Linked DNA regions of Daphnia pulex. The protein of the gene in region 1 interacts with the protein of each later gene in a biochemical or structural test. Links are inferred from orthologs where the notes say so. Each region holds a gene or a part of one and is shown on either strand. Other genes may lie near its edges.

Evidence for each region. The genes of interacting proteins can lie anywhere in the genome.
Region 2: the proteins of cullin-5-like (region 1) and protein big brother-like form a complex in vitro, tested with the Homo sapiens proteins (4 studies listed by BioGRID). The link is inferred for Daphnia pulex from reciprocal best matches to the Homo sapiens genes CUL5 and CBFB.

Annotation. Positions count from the first base shown.
Region 1 is NC_060021.1:665,699-673,235, forward strand, and holds cullin-5-like, read right to left. Parts: upstream 5,105-7,537; 5' UTR 4,971-5,104; coding exon 4,950-4,970; intron 4,780-4,949; coding exon 4,570-4,779; intron 4,487-4,569; coding exon 4,298-4,486; intron 4,231-4,297; coding exon 4,089-4,230; intron 4,028-4,088; coding exon 3,813-4,027; intron 3,747-3,812; coding exon 3,653-3,746; intron 3,574-3,652; coding exon 3,443-3,573; intron 3,378-3,442; coding exon 3,210-3,377; intron 3,116-3,209; coding exon 2,966-3,115; intron 2,872-2,965; coding exon 2,747-2,871; intron 2,688-2,746; coding exon 2,557-2,687; intron 2,493-2,556; coding exon 2,320-2,492; intron 2,180-2,319; coding exon 2,018-2,179; intron 1,930-2,017; coding exon 1,811-1,929; intron 1,745-1,810; coding exon 1,621-1,744; intron 1,555-1,620; coding exon 1,360-1,554; 3' UTR 1,193-1,359; downstream 1-1,192. Other genes in the region: sorting nexin-12-like, read left to right, coding at 287-445, 557-652, 717-841, 901-1,006; glycosyltransferase 25 family member-like, read left to right, coding at 6,979-7,172. UniProt on the Homo sapiens protein: Core component of multiple cullin-5-RING E3 ubiquitin-protein ligase complexes (ECS complexes, also named CRL5 complexes), which mediate the ubiquitination and subsequent proteasomal degradation of target proteins.
Region 2 is NC_060020.1:1,159,201-1,166,686, reverse strand, and holds the start of protein big brother-like, read right to left. Parts: upstream 4,572-7,486; 5' UTR 3,629-4,571; intron 2,855-3,628; 5' UTR 2,739-2,854; coding exon 2,544-2,738; intron 487-2,543; coding exon 400-486; intron 1-399. UniProt on the Homo sapiens protein: Forms the heterodimeric complex core-binding factor (CBF) with RUNX family proteins (RUNX1, RUNX2, and RUNX3).

The DNA.
Region 1 (7,537 bases):
ATTAGTAAATATTAAAAACTATTTGTTTTGTTCTTTCAAAATATTTGAATTGCACAATTTTTTTTTCACGACTTGTGTGGGGCTTCACTGAGTTCACTCGTCTGTCGTAAGAGTTGTTTGACGTTTAATGGTTAACATAAGTTCCTGAGTGTGGGAGGTGTTTTTTTTCTCTGCAGAACGGAACTCGTCTTACCGTTTGAAATCTGTAGGTTCTACTATTGATACGTCTATTTTTCAGCACATTGTAAAAGAACGAAATAACATGAAGAGATTTTCTTTGTAGATTATGGATAACACAGAAGCAACTAGACGATTGCATACCAAAAAGCAAACTTTGGACGACGCATATGCCGCCCCTGCCAATTTTTTGGAAATCGACGTAATAAATCCTATTACTCACGGTGTTGCAAAAAAACGATACACGGATTATGAAGTCCGAATGAGGGTAAGTGCAATTTGCATTTTGCTAAATGTCATGAATTGAATGACGTGCCTTTTTTCTTTTGCAATGTTGTTAAAGTTGTGTGTAATCAATGTTGACCATTATTTTTCCCAGACAAATTTGCCTGTTTTTAAGATCAAAGAGTCCAGTGTGAGGCGAAGGTACTCAGACTTTGAGTGGTTAAGAAGTGAGCTTGAGAGAGACAGCAAAGTATGAATCTTGACATAAGGAAGAGATTATGGATTTTAATACCGGTTCAAATTTTTTTTTTCAGATTGTGGTTCCACCTCTACCTGGAAAAGCAATCAAACGCCAGCTCCCATTTAGAAATGATGATGGTATCTATGATGAAGAATTCATTGAAGACAGGCGTAAATCTCTTGAAGGATTTGTGAACAAGTGTGTTTCTATATTAACATTCAAGCATCACAACCTAAACTTACTCAAATAATTTACAGAATTGCAGGACATCCGCTAGCACAGAATGAACGCTGCCTCCATATGTTTCTCCAAGAGCCAGTGATTGATAAGAACTATGTACCAGGCAAGATCCGACCTAACTAACTTGTGGTTATACCAGATGAAAGTTGTCACTCATTCCTTCATTACCTGTTTCTCTTTAACATCCTCTTTCCCTTCTGTTGGTTATAATGAATTTATCGTGAATACATTCGTAGCGTCTTTAAAACTGTCAGTGCTATAAAATTGTGAAGATCTGAATTGTTCCGTCAACGCGATTACACTGCATCATGACATCGCCGATCGCAATTTTATTTTTATCGAAAATATTTACACGACAGGATTTTGGCTTGACCAAGGAATAAGTAAGGAGTTAAGAGAAATTGCAAAAGAGAAGAAAGATGTACATATGAAACTTAATTAGATTCAACTGTACAGTTTCAGTAATATTGTTATTATTAGGCTAGATAAATAAAGGTATTAATATCCTTTTCAGAACGTTTCATGTAACGATGTTCTATCAGCCACTCCACTTGTTCTTTTATCATTTTCTTCGAGGGGATGAAAAGATTCTTCAAAATTTCAACAAGCTCAGTTTGCAACTGGGCATTGCTAATCTGTTTCCTCATTTTCAGAATTTTGACTATAGCCTCCTGAAAACGTAAATGACCAAATTTATAAGGTTAACGATACTAAATTTTGTTGAAATTCTTTTATACCTGAGTGCGCAAAATGCGCAACTGTACAATGCCTTCGTTTTCTTCTTCTTTACTTTTCTCGGTAGACAGCTGGAGACGACCAATTAAATTAATCTTACCCCGCTTTTGAACTTTTCCATTTTTTCTGCGATTGAAACATATAGATTTAATTTTTTAATTAATATAAACTACGATTTAAAAAAAGACGTACATTAGACTGAAGTCTTGATTGACAGAAAAAATAGAGTTTTCAGTGAAATCTCTTGCGGATTGGACTTCCGGTTGGCATATTAACAACTGTCGTTTCAGTTTTGGAAAAGCCACCAAAGACTGAAAAACCATGTCATTCCATAAAATCAAATGTGAATAATTATTCCAATTCTAAACATTTGTAAACAATTTTAAAACATTTGTATACCCCAAGAGTTCGTCGAAGTTCCGCATCAGGCAACTCAGTTGCTAAACGCAAGTTTTCAAGAGAAATTTTTTCTTTCGGTCGTTCGTTCCACGCAAATAGGACAGCCATTTGAAATGTTGTAACATCCAGATCAAATCTTCCAACTGAATTGGCAAACTGAATCTAAAATGAAATACAAGGTTTAGAATCGGCTGCACTCGGTATTAAGTAACGATAATCACATATTCGGTGATTGATTATTTCTTCCAAAGATCTGGATGTGAAGAATTTTAAATAATTTATAAATTATAAGGAAGACTCACAGTTCCATTTGACATATGATGATGCCACTGAAGTTTTCGTCCACTATGCTTTTTCCTGTAGAAATCTTCCACTTCTGGTATGTAGTCTTCTAACTCCAACGGCAACGACACTGTCACTCGGTCAGATCCACGAGCCCAAGCTCCAGCATTCAGGATTTTAATGTTAATCGAGTCTGGTAATCGTTTAAAAAAATTAATCTTTATGTTAACTTATGCGCCCTTTCTATGAGGTATTACCAGCAATGCTTCCTTTGGTCTTCCTATATTCCTCTTTGAATTGTTGATTCAAGTCTTCGCTGATCTTGATATCTTGGAACATACGGGCAAGCTTGTGAACATAGTCGGCTGGCATGCCAACTTCTCTCAACCTTTTTCATGAAAATAATTGTAAAAAATGCAAAATGAACGTAAAAATTAGTTAGTGTACCATTCAACCATGTTTTCTTCTTTTTCGCTGTCAGCTGAGGTGTCCAAGATCAATCTTCTAGTTAAATGCGCTTTGTGGAACCGCATGAACACATCTTTGTTTTGAACGTATTTCAGAACAAGTAGCTAAATGGCAACAAATGAAGCATATGAATAATTATTTAATCAAACGAAAACATTACTATGCTAGCGTGACAACACCAACTTTTTTTTATCTTACCACATCCTTTAGTTTGCTTTCAATTTCATCGGAAGTGAGTTTTTTGCTTAAAGGTGTCTTACGCAGAAGCATGTCACAGAAATTAGCTAGCAGCTCTGGGCAACGAGATTCAGGTTGGGTTTTGACTCCTCCACTGGAGCCAGGTCCTTGCTGAAAACACAATTTTAATTTTAAAGTGTTAGTTTAATGTCAACGGAAAAATTTTTTTGGCATAAAGCAAAGGTAAACAGAAACAGGAAATTACCAATCGAGTGGGTAAATCTAATCGAAAGACTGAAGTATCATTCACAACATGTTTATAAGCTTTATCACGAGCAGTAAGGAACCGCGGGTCATCGTCGAAAGCTTCCTTAACCAAGAGGCTAAACTGATTGAACAGTGTCAAAAGTCGTTCCACATATTTTTCAGAATCCTACCAATAGCATTAAAAAATTATGAATGAGTCATGAAGACATTAACACTAGTCTATCAATGTACTTGAGTAATTAATTCAGCTGCCACCATCATATCCGCCAATCCTGCGTGAATAATGTGATCTTCTAAATATTTTAGCATAGGTGCAATTCCATCGGAGACTCGATCCATCAACCGGAACATCATACGCAATTCTGTGATTAAAAATTTAAATGTTACTCAAACTCCACCTACGACACTGTAAATTTTCAATATTAAATGTGGTAAACATACTTTGAGTTTCGTCTTGCTTAATCATAGAAGAACATTCAGCTAGAATGGTTTCCTTGAAGGCTGTCACCAAGACATTTACGCAACATCCGTTAAGCTTGAAAGAAAGATTTAAAAAAATTATAACCAAATCTTAAAATAAGTAATAAAAAGCCATTAGTACAGTAGCAATGGAACACGATTCTAGATATTTATTGGCTCGCTGCTCCTCTTCGCGTAGTTTCGATTCTGCGTATCTCATGTAATTCTGAACACCATTGATTTCCAAATATTGAGGAGCTTTCAACTTGTAAAAAGCTTCGGTGGAATCTATATAAGCCCTCTCAAAGTTATCCATATAAATGGTCAACTTATCTTCAGAATTTGAACAAAGGTTAACTGCAGGAAGTAAGTAAATATTAAGCAGTTGAAACAATATCTTGCCATAGAAATGTTTTACCATAGGACTCTCTCACTCCAATGACCAACTGTGAGTCAAAGGCTTCTCCATTTCTTTCAGCATGGACTAATTTCATTGCTGAGTCTTGTAATCGGTTTTTAATGTTGGAGAAAATACTAAAGTTCCAGGAATCCAACATTAGCTAAAACACAGAAACAAAATATTTATCAAAAAACAAGTTATTCATTAAAAATGTATTTATTGTTTACCTTTCTGACTAGACTGTCATCAGTGTTTTGCTGGGGCTTTTTCTGTATTGAGTTGTGTGTTTTACCTTGAAGTGCAGTTTCAAGCTGGAAGAAAGGCATGGGCAAATATGAGCACTGGGTAAAAAATTTACGCCATTCACTGATGTAAGCCCTCAACAGTGACTGGTCTTCTTCATGAGTTAGTACTCTCTGATATAAACAAAGAGGATTAATAGATGCATCTCAATTATTTTAATCATTTACACCGATTGCAACAGGAATATGTAACTTACTGTCTGTGCTTGCTTGATGAATTCCAGAATATCATCCTGCAATGCCTTGTACATTTTGGCATGTGATTTTTCATCCCACAAACACACCATGTGTACAGACCAAAACAGTTCATGCCATTCAGCTCGACTAACAGGCTCTTGACGTAACAGTTTCAAAATTGTTGGTCTCATAAGAGGCCATTGTTCTTCAAATACCAATTGTCCTTTATCCTTAAAAGTAAGAAAACATATTTTAATTGGTTAATGTTGATGCGATATATTTCGATCGACGAATTTGTTGATGAGGTTATGAATCATGACACTACTTGCAAGTGCATAATCTAAAGACTTGATATTTCTTTCTCATAACAAATAAAAACATTTACTAGTTCTTTATTTACCTTCCACATTGATGCTGCCATTTCTATTTCTTGATGGTCTAGCCGTTTTTCAGTGCTCCTGTTCTTAACATCGGCTCACACACACACTCTACCAGTAGGCTGTCGAAGTTAACCGGTTAATCGGAATACCGGACTGAAGCCCCGTCTTGCCACGACATCTGCCATGACCTTTTTGAATTTTGATTTTTTAACGAGCGCCAATGAGCGCATAGAAACGGGCTTGGATTTATTGCTTTGTTTGATTCTTCATCTATTTGTGTGGTAACGACCACTGACTAGTGAATCAAGAACATAAGCGACACAAGTATTTAAAACTAATTAGTAAAAATTTTGTCGCTGACTTTTTATTATGTCTCGTAGTTAAAGATTTCGAATTTATATTAATTTCGTTGAGATCTGAGTCTTATCTATCATCTATCCGGATGGATCGAGGAATTTATCTGTGGCTAAAATGTGTCTCTCATATTTATCCAACATTTAGTAAGTACTCTTGCAACCAGTAGATGGTGGGCAGCTCATCATGGCTGTTGCGTCAATGCTACATTAATATGTTATGGCTACTATCCCAGTTCCCAGGCTATCCCCGTCTGTTCTTCCACTTCACGTTATTTCCTCGTTTACTCATGATAAAAGCGTACGTGAGACGCATTTGGCCAAGTATACTTGCAGGACCGGCTACAGCTTATAATTAAACTGCAACTGGTAGTGAATGTGATAATTGATGTGGCATTCAACATTATTATTATACGCACGTATCAAGGTTACTTTGATCACAAGCTGCTTTGATAGTACGCAAACAAAACAGTCAATTTCCGCACTCCCTTTCAATTGCTTGCTGCAGGCTACTCAATCTCTATAAATAGTTGTTTTTCCTCTTTCCAAGGCTTAATCTCGATATGACCTTACAAAAATGATTTCCAAAACAAAAATGTTAACATTACATATCAAAAGAAAACGCCGATGAGTACTACATCAGAAGAGTTAAATTTTTCTGCTGCTGATGTTCTTATCAAGATCCTATAAAACTACGCGGACTATTTTGTTTTCATTATTCGACAATCGCTAAAAGCAAAAATGCAAATGAGCATTGAAGATATTTTCGTCCGTATTCAAGCCTCGTTCTCCATTTTTTTTTAAAAACCTTATAAAGAAGAATTGCGTCAATCTTGTATAATGTCTGGCTTTCCAAGAGCAGTCAGAATTGCCCAGTACGAATGTAACCGCAAATTTTTGTAATCAAGAACGTACCATGTCGAATCATCCACCCGTCTCGCATGTCATAAACAAAAATTTTTGTTTTCGCTTAAATAAATCGGAATCTACTATTTGAGAAATGCATTTTTTTTAAAATCGAATTATCTCTTATTTGATTTTCCCACCCCCCGCATCAAATTTTCCAGAAAACGCTGGAACCGTGTAAAGAGAACTAGAGAAGCTTTTCCAATGTTTAGATTTCTCTTTTTCTTTTATATTCTCCTCAGAGACAGATGCCCCGGTCAGCGTCCGGCTTTTTTAATATGTGTGTGTTACGCTATGTGTTCACATAAGCCAGCAGAAGTCGCACAGAAACGGCGCTAGAGTTCGTTTCCGATTTCTATAACATTCCTACATCATCTTGTGGATATTTCTGATATATTCAAAATCGGGAAAACTCACGATCAAGAGTTAATAAATTTCAAAAATTAAACTTGGTCGAGTAAGAGTCGTGTAAACCGCTGCTTTCACTTGATATCGTGTTGTATAAATGGGGGAAAAGCTCACACGACGGAATGATTAGAAATTGCGCGGACTCTTTGTTTCTAAACAAATCGTCCCAGACTCCCGTCTTCTGTTGTCGACAGTCTCGAGGGGTGCGTCAAAAAGTTTTTCTAAACGTGGACGGAGGGGGGAAATCGTTGCAGCAGATGTAAAATTCCTTATCAGACATAGATCGTATTTCGTGCACTCTACCCTTGAGAAACATTTGAGTCCTAGTCCCGACTTCATTCTTACTCGTGGCGTCAACGTGGCAGCTCGCTTCCTTAAGAGAATGAGAACGTCCATCGGGGAGTTTATTACAGTGGGACTTTGCGTCTTTTTATTTGCAAGCTGCACACAGGCCACCTTTCGCGATGATCCCACTGTTCTCGTTACTTTGCTCGTCAGAAACAAAGCTCACACCCTACCCTATTTCTTAAAATTATTCGAAGAGTTGGACTACCCCAAAAATAGATTGACATTATGGTAAAGTGTTGATTATTCTTCAAAAATTTTTCTCTCCATCTTTTCCTCTTGTTCCAATGTTTCTTAATTGTGTCCATTCTTTTTAACAATGTTGGTGAGTGGCTTTTTCTATACTGCTCAGCGATGATCTTGTTTTATTCTGGGTGAAAGTGGATGGCCGTACATGTGTGTAGGAAGACCTACTTAAACTTTCTAGAATTTCCAAGCCCAGACCATGGCGTATTACTTTTATCAATGCTTCGTTGGTGAAGGAAGTCATTTAAAACATTTGCTCTAAAACTTTCCTTTGTCTATGACACTGCCCACACAGCGTTTATAAAAATAAATGGAAGCTTCCTCTATCTGTGTACCCTTCATGGTGGACT
Region 2 (7,486 bases), on another chromosome or scaffold:
CTTAACTGTGATCTCTCTCTCTCTTGTTGGCTTCTTCCCCTCTCTCTCCTTTCCGCCTATTGGCTACCGCTGCCAACACACATCCACTCCCCACCACTCCTTCAAGGAGAGATCCTACTCCACTGCTGAGGGGAGCCAAATCCCCCCCGAGACGTTTGCTCCCACCGACGTCGTCGTCGTCGTCTTCCGATGAGTTTGAGCCAGGGCGGCGGCCAAACAGCTCGTTAGCGTCTCATCAATTTCATGTCACACACACACAAAACGTAATAGAGCCTCTCTCTCCCTAGCTCTATCCACTTGGCCGTCTCTCTTACACACGCAACGGAGGCAACACACAACTTTTTAGACGGCCTTAGTTTTTTTTAAGATTCAAAATTGCAGTAGTTAAGTCAAACTCACGATTTCAGCGTGTCCTTCTCGACATCCGGCCGCAAATCTCATCTGGCGCTCCTCCAACGGCCGGTCCCGAAATCCAACGTATCTCACCTGTAATAATTCAAATGAAAACGAATTAAATTAAAAACAGAAAATAAATGTTTGATTGAAAAATCATTGGGTCCCAACAAAGGGACGTGTAAACGTCAAACAAGCCCCACCGCAATAATCATCTGATAGTAATATAACGGCCAAACATCTCGATTTTCTCGTCGCATCGTTATAACAACTGCATTTGATCATCCGAGTCTTTCTTCTTCATCTTTTTCCCCCCGCCAGTGTTGCGGCCAACCACCAACCACACGCCAATGACCATACAACAACAACAACAACAGTTATTTGGTGGCTGTATATGTACGGCCCGGCAAATATGGAGAAAGTTTTCCCTTTTTTCTTCAGTTTTTTTTTAACAGTTGTGGAACGCCGATTTAAGTTTTTAAATGACCAACAAAAACATTCATCCCCTCTACGGAAAACCTACAAGAGGCGCCCAAGAGTCGTATATATATATATATGAGTTAGGAGTCAGAGAGTCCAGCCATAGATCAATTGAGCCATTACCCCAGCGTAGTATCCAGCAGTCCTTGTATGCGAAAAAGTTAGAAGATATATACCCGTCGGGGGGTAAAAGACTGTCGTTTATATATATTTGCTTTTCATCTTTTTATATTTTTGGGGGCCATTATTTTATTATTTTCGACCGTGTTTTATTGTTGTCCACCAGGAGATGGATTCGTTGGCTGTCTGCACTTTTAACAGCCAATAAGTCCGTCTCTTCTCTCTCAACGACGCGCTGGACACAGCCAGCCACCGTAAATAGCCTATTATCAATAGGCGAGACCGAGATGTCAATAATAAAAATGGAGAAACACTCTTTTCGGGGCCGGCAGCAAACAATTGAAGACGAAATATTCAATAGGACGATTTTTTGGCCAACATTTTGACTCGAACAAGACGTAGTGATCGGTTATGTGTGTTGAATGGCCCCGGTGGTGTGTGGTGACATTTCTCTCTTGTGTCCGTCTGTGGATGTAGAGACGTCCCGCTGGCCCAGATGATAACGCGAAATGAAGAGCCCAGCCGACGACGACAACTATTTTAAAAGGAGGGCGATTGTGCACAGCGGGGAAATGTGGGCAGGTCAGCCTTTTTCTCTTCTTCTTTCTAAATTTCTTTGCCACTGGTGTTGGACCGAGTGGCAAGTTCTTTTCTTGACGCCCGTCCTTCCTGTAGCCGGCCAGACATTTCCTCTATACCTGATCATATAGCCCCAGCCTTTTTTTTTTACTATTTCTATCAAATAGATTTTTTTAAAAGAAAATCCCCGCCGAGTTAACTTTCTCACACACAGCCCCAGAAAAAAAAAGAACTTTTTTTATTTTTCATTTTCTTCTCGGCCAGCAGCAGCAGCGGGAGGTTGTGCCGTGTTGTTGGTTTTTCTTTTTCTTGGCCCAGCAGCACCGGCCGTTGCAGACAATAACACATTGGTGAGAGTTGCCCAGCCATCCGTGGATCAATATAATATATATAATACAACATAATGACTTTTCCCTTAGAAGCTACATACGGAGATGTGTATAAAGCCAACTACAGCCACTTGGCCTTCTCATATCTTTTGAGACTTGGCTATTATAACGCCTCTCTCTCTCTCGACTGGAATGTGTCTCGACAAAAAATATATAAAACATAATATAAAAAAGGAGATAGCGAATTGACGGGTGAACGGGCCGTTGAGCAGGAGGATCGCGTCGATATAGAGAGTCGAGCGTGAAGAAGCCTATATACACGTTAGATTAGCTCGAGATATCTCTTGTCATATTTGTGTATAAATATAAATACATGATTATAGAGAGAGTGTATTCCATCCGGCTCTCTAGGACTCTACTACTATCTCTATAGACAGTAGATCGAATTTGATATTGGCAAAAACAACCAAATAAAAACTGTCGACTGCGGCTAACAGTCAGAAACCGCAATGAGACGCTCTTCTGGCCCACTACAACCAATTCAATTCCGACGGCCCAAAAGCCGAACCCCAAAAATGTGATTGTTAATATTTGAGCAGGCCAGCGACGGCGGCCTATATAGATTGGCCGTCAAGATCTTACCTCGGATTCTCGGCTGAGCCGACGGAAGAGCTCGTCGGATTCGAATCGGCCCTTCTGGTCGGGAATGACGCGCGGCACTCTGTACATGAGACTGGGCTTGGTCTGCTCGTAGAGGCCCATCCCGCCCATGGAGTCGTAGGGCAGCATGCTGGACAAGAGATGCTGGGCAGCCGTTTGGTTCATTCCCTTGTACATTTTTGTCGAATTTAAATGGAACGCGCCCAGATGATGATGCCAAAGTCCCAAAATCACAAATTCACTTTCTTTCTTCTATTTTCGAATGAACCGACGGCACACCAAAAGTTTCCAGCCTGAAAATATTTTCAAAATAAAAATTGAATTTAGAATTTGATATAAGAAAATATTAATTGAATCAAAAGAAAGAAACAGTTCGATATGTTGAATAAATTGTGTGGCTACTGGTGACCAGCCAGGAGCTATCATTGAAACCGGTTTGAATTTTTGTTGTTTTTTTTCTATTCAAAATATTTTTTGGTTGGGGGGATTTCATCCTGGGTTGTTGTTTGATTTTTTTCGAAAAAACCAAAAAACCAAAAGGGAGAGATTGTTTCTGTTGATTGGTGGTGTTGATTAAGCGGCTGTCGAGCCGTTTGCCCATCAGCGCACGAGTTCCATGTTACACATTATATAAGCCGGGCGAGGAGGAGGAGGAGGAAATGCTCTCTCCTCTTTTGTTATGATGTATCAAAACGACGACGGTCTTTTAGATTAGTTTCTCGGTGACAAAAAACCCCAGCAAACAGCATTTCTAGAAGACTCTTCTTTTTCTTTTTCCAACAACAGGATTAGATTTTCGGCTGTATACAATATAACCGATGACGAGAAATTGGCAATGACTGATCGCCATCTCATTTACGTACACCGGCTGAGAGCTCTGGCTGTTGGTCAATGGTCAGCCAAGACCAAAGCATTGCGAATCAACATAATCTAACTTATTGGACATCTGTCAAATGACGCAATTTATACAGTTGATGAGCTACACCACCTATACCGAGTTCATTTTTCTTCTATAATTGAATCAATCGAAGATTTTTCGAGAGCTAAATAAATGTTGTTTCACTTACCGCTTCAAAGATATATTGATAAGTGGTGGGGGATGTTGTACGTGGATGTTGTTGGCGTCTAAAAGGTCCAATTCGGCTCGCACGGCTGAGCCGATTGAAGGTGAATGCTGCGGTTAGAAATAACCAAGAAAAAAACAACACACACACACACACAGACACACGCACTGAGACTGAGGGACACTGGAGAGTATGGCGATGTGATGGTGCGGGAGCGCGCGCACAGGTGTCCCAGCACAGCCGACCGACGTCACCAACAACAGCAGTCGTCTTCTTTTTTTCTATTCACTCACGACACGGCGCGTGTGTGTCGCACTTGCGTCAATAAATGAACGACCAGAATTTACAAAACCCAAAAAGTTTCAAATCAAATCAAATCAAATTTTGGGAGGATGAAATCGACACTTGATGACGCGCACTGCGAGTTGTGTTTGAAACAATCAAAGGTACAAGTAGTAGTTGTTGTTGTTGTTCAATGTGAAACCATGTCCGCTGGGCCACTAGCTGCTGCTGCTGGACTGGTTGAGTCAGTGATGTCCTTCTGGTTGGAGGCCGGAGCAACGACTGAAGAACTACTGCGGTCTGTATGTAGGCAAAACTCTTTTTCCCTTTTTCTTTACACCCACCAAGAGGTTCTCCCAACTTCTCTCTTGGCTAGTGTGTGTAGTGTATAGCCTTGTGTGTGTAAAGAAAAGAATTGTGTGTGTAGTAGTTCTAATCCGCCGTCGGCAACGCTCAGAGCTCGACTGTTTTCCCAACTAGCGCCGCCATGATTTGGTGTCTACACACAACACACATCGACTCGATGCGGCCGGGCCGGGCTATTGTGTTGGATGGGATGGCTATTCGGGCCGGCTCTTCTCCCAGTCTATAGTAGTAGTGGCGATGGTGGTGTCTAGTGGCGGTGGTAAAGGTCCAGTCCAGTCGCTGCCCAGAGAGAAGAGAAGAATCAAAGGCAAAAGAAGAAGAGAAAAGAAGAAAAGGGCAGATTGAAATGAAGAGGAAGGAAATGATTGGTCGATGGGCCGGGCTATCTAGGGCAAAGCAGAAAGAGAAGGGGCTGGACTTGTGAGACGTGACTGCGCCCACTTATTCCCGCTTGCAATGGCCCGTCCTATCGTTCACCAAAGCCGAGGGTGTGGTGATCTCCGCCAGTGGGAGGAAACCAACAACAAACGGCGACTTTTCCTTCTTCTATTTGAAACAGCAGCAACGGACGAGAGTGAGATGGATATGCCAGTCCTGTGTGTGTCAACTGGCTGGGCCAGCCACATATAGCCACAGCCAAGAAACCGTCAGTCGGTTAGACACACATACATACAACAACTGTAGTGCTGCTGCTGCTGCTGTTATGCATGGCCAGCCTTCTTTTCGGCTGCGCTGTCTGTGCTGGCCTGGCCTGGCCCTTTTTCTCTCTGATGGATGATCCGGTGTCAAGACCAGTAGCCATGACGGAAAAGGGGAGGAGCTCCTCCACTACTCGTTACATGCCCTCGCCCTTTTATTTTCTCCACCAGATAGATATGAAACAACACAAACAGCTGAATGTTAACCAATGTATTTCTCTTGATATAGATTGCTGCTCGCCAACGTACATCACCAGCCCTGATGCTGGCCATATCTTTTCCTTTCATCAACCCGTCCAACCGAATGTATTGAACAGACATTGATCTTTTATATTTATACTTATTCTTCATTGCAACAACAATTTTATTTTTTGGGGAAAGACAAAAAGAAAACCTTGTAACAACAGACCGGAAATGCGTAAGACGAGGTTTGGCCTATAAACAGCTCGAACCGTTCATGTGTGTTTTCCCTCGCCCGCCGGTTTTTATAACTGAAAAAAAAAAAAGTTACACCACCCAAATTTCCAATTTTAAAAAGAAAAGGCCCATTGCACACACAAGAAAAAACAACAGTAGCAGGCCAGCCTTCTTATTTTGATAATAAAGACTCTGGCTGCGACGTACGCCATCAGCCAAAATGGGGAAAATTCATTTTTTGTTTTTTCTTTTTTTTTTAATTTTGAAAAAATAATGACGACAAAGTTGATGTGTCGCTGTAATGATCTAGCCCCCCTTCTTCCATCACAGTACACAAGGCCAAAGGAGTAATATATATAGGAGTAGATTTCATTTTGTTTCCCATCAAGGAGCCGAGCAGCAGCTGTTTCGGGTGTATAGTGGTGCTGGCTGGGTTGATTGCAGATGAGACAAAACAACAAGACCATCAAAAACGTTTTTCGGTGGGCGACGATTAGCACTTGGCCGCTAGAAAACTGTCGCTAAACTCTCCTGCTGCTCTGTGCTCTGCTGTTTGGGGGTCCCCTATACACACTCCTCCTTCTTCTTCGACATGCATAAATGAGTAGATTGTCGACTCTGTCAGTGACGATAGATAATTGACACTCTCGCCGAGAAAAAGGGCCCACCCACACGCTCGGCTTCTTCCCACATGAACCCCCCATAGCATAGCATAGCATCTGTGTACGTATTATACGTGTACGGAGTTAGCACAACGTAGGTATATATTCTACTAGCACTTAGCGTTCGTCTTTTTCCTTCCACCTCTGCAATAAAACACGTCGCATTTAATAAGAAATGAACTTGATAGTCTCCCTGTTTGGGGCGTGCCGGGGTGATGATACAGAGCCACCATCACTTCTTCTATCTCGTCGATATTTTAGTTTATTCCTTTCGATCTAATAAGAATGACGTGATTCGGTAATAAGGAAAAATAACTAGACGAGGAAGTGATGAGGGACGTAGAGGAGCATTGGATTTATAGGCCCCGCACCATTGATGCAATTGTGTGTATACCCGTGGCATTTGTGTATGACGAAGGGGCTTGTATGATGTGTACGAACCCCAGGTGGCGACAGCTGACCCTTTTCTCATATCGGCCCGATGTATTTATGATGGGGCTAGATCCTTTTTTATTCCTTTTTTCTTATTTCACAATTTCAAATGTAAACCTCACTCCCTCCCCCCCACCTCACCCCCACCATCGCGTGTGTTAGCCTTTTTTGACGTCATCCACACGGTTCAATGCGTCCACTTTTGGATTATATTCCACCTGTTTCTTCTATTGGTTCAACTAAAAAATATGGAGAGCTCGGATTATTATTAAACTTATCCGAATTTTATCCAGGCAAAGTTGTGTCAACTGTTGTCGTTTTGTTTGCTCATTAAAAAAGGCACTCGTCCGTTTCTCCCCCCTTTTTATTACGTGTGTCTCATTTGAAATTTCATTATTACGTCAAACAGACGCGGAGGAGGAGAACGAACGAAAGTTTTTCTCGTGAAAAGCCTGCGGCATATCCGGCCGCCCAGCAGCGGGCGGTCGAGAGCCTGGGATGTTGTTCAAACACATTCGCTTGTTCATAACACATGCGGCACAGCAGCGGACATTTCAACATGTTTTTTAATCATAACTGCGCTAATGTTTTGTGTATGTGTGTGTGTATAGCCTCTTATATGAACGGGAGCTTGAACTATATATGTGTGTATCCTCATCCAGCTGATTACATATCCATTTTTATCCGGCCCTCTACACACATCCTGTCTAGCTCTCTCTCTCTCCACGCAGTTGAGTAGAGTTCTAGACACACACACACAGAACGGGCACGGCCGGTAGAGCACACACAGGAAACGAACTAGTCGACTTTTCTCGAATGTGTTTTATCGACCCAAGTCGAATGGAAACGCAGACGGAAAAACATTTTCTGGTGGAGAGAGAAAATCCTGGCCGGCAAATAATCAACGGAAAATGCTGGGGGGGAAGCAGAGAAAAGCGTTAGCCCTTGGCCTGTGTCAAATAGTACAAGAACTATCGATCCTACACGACGATAACACGATCGAC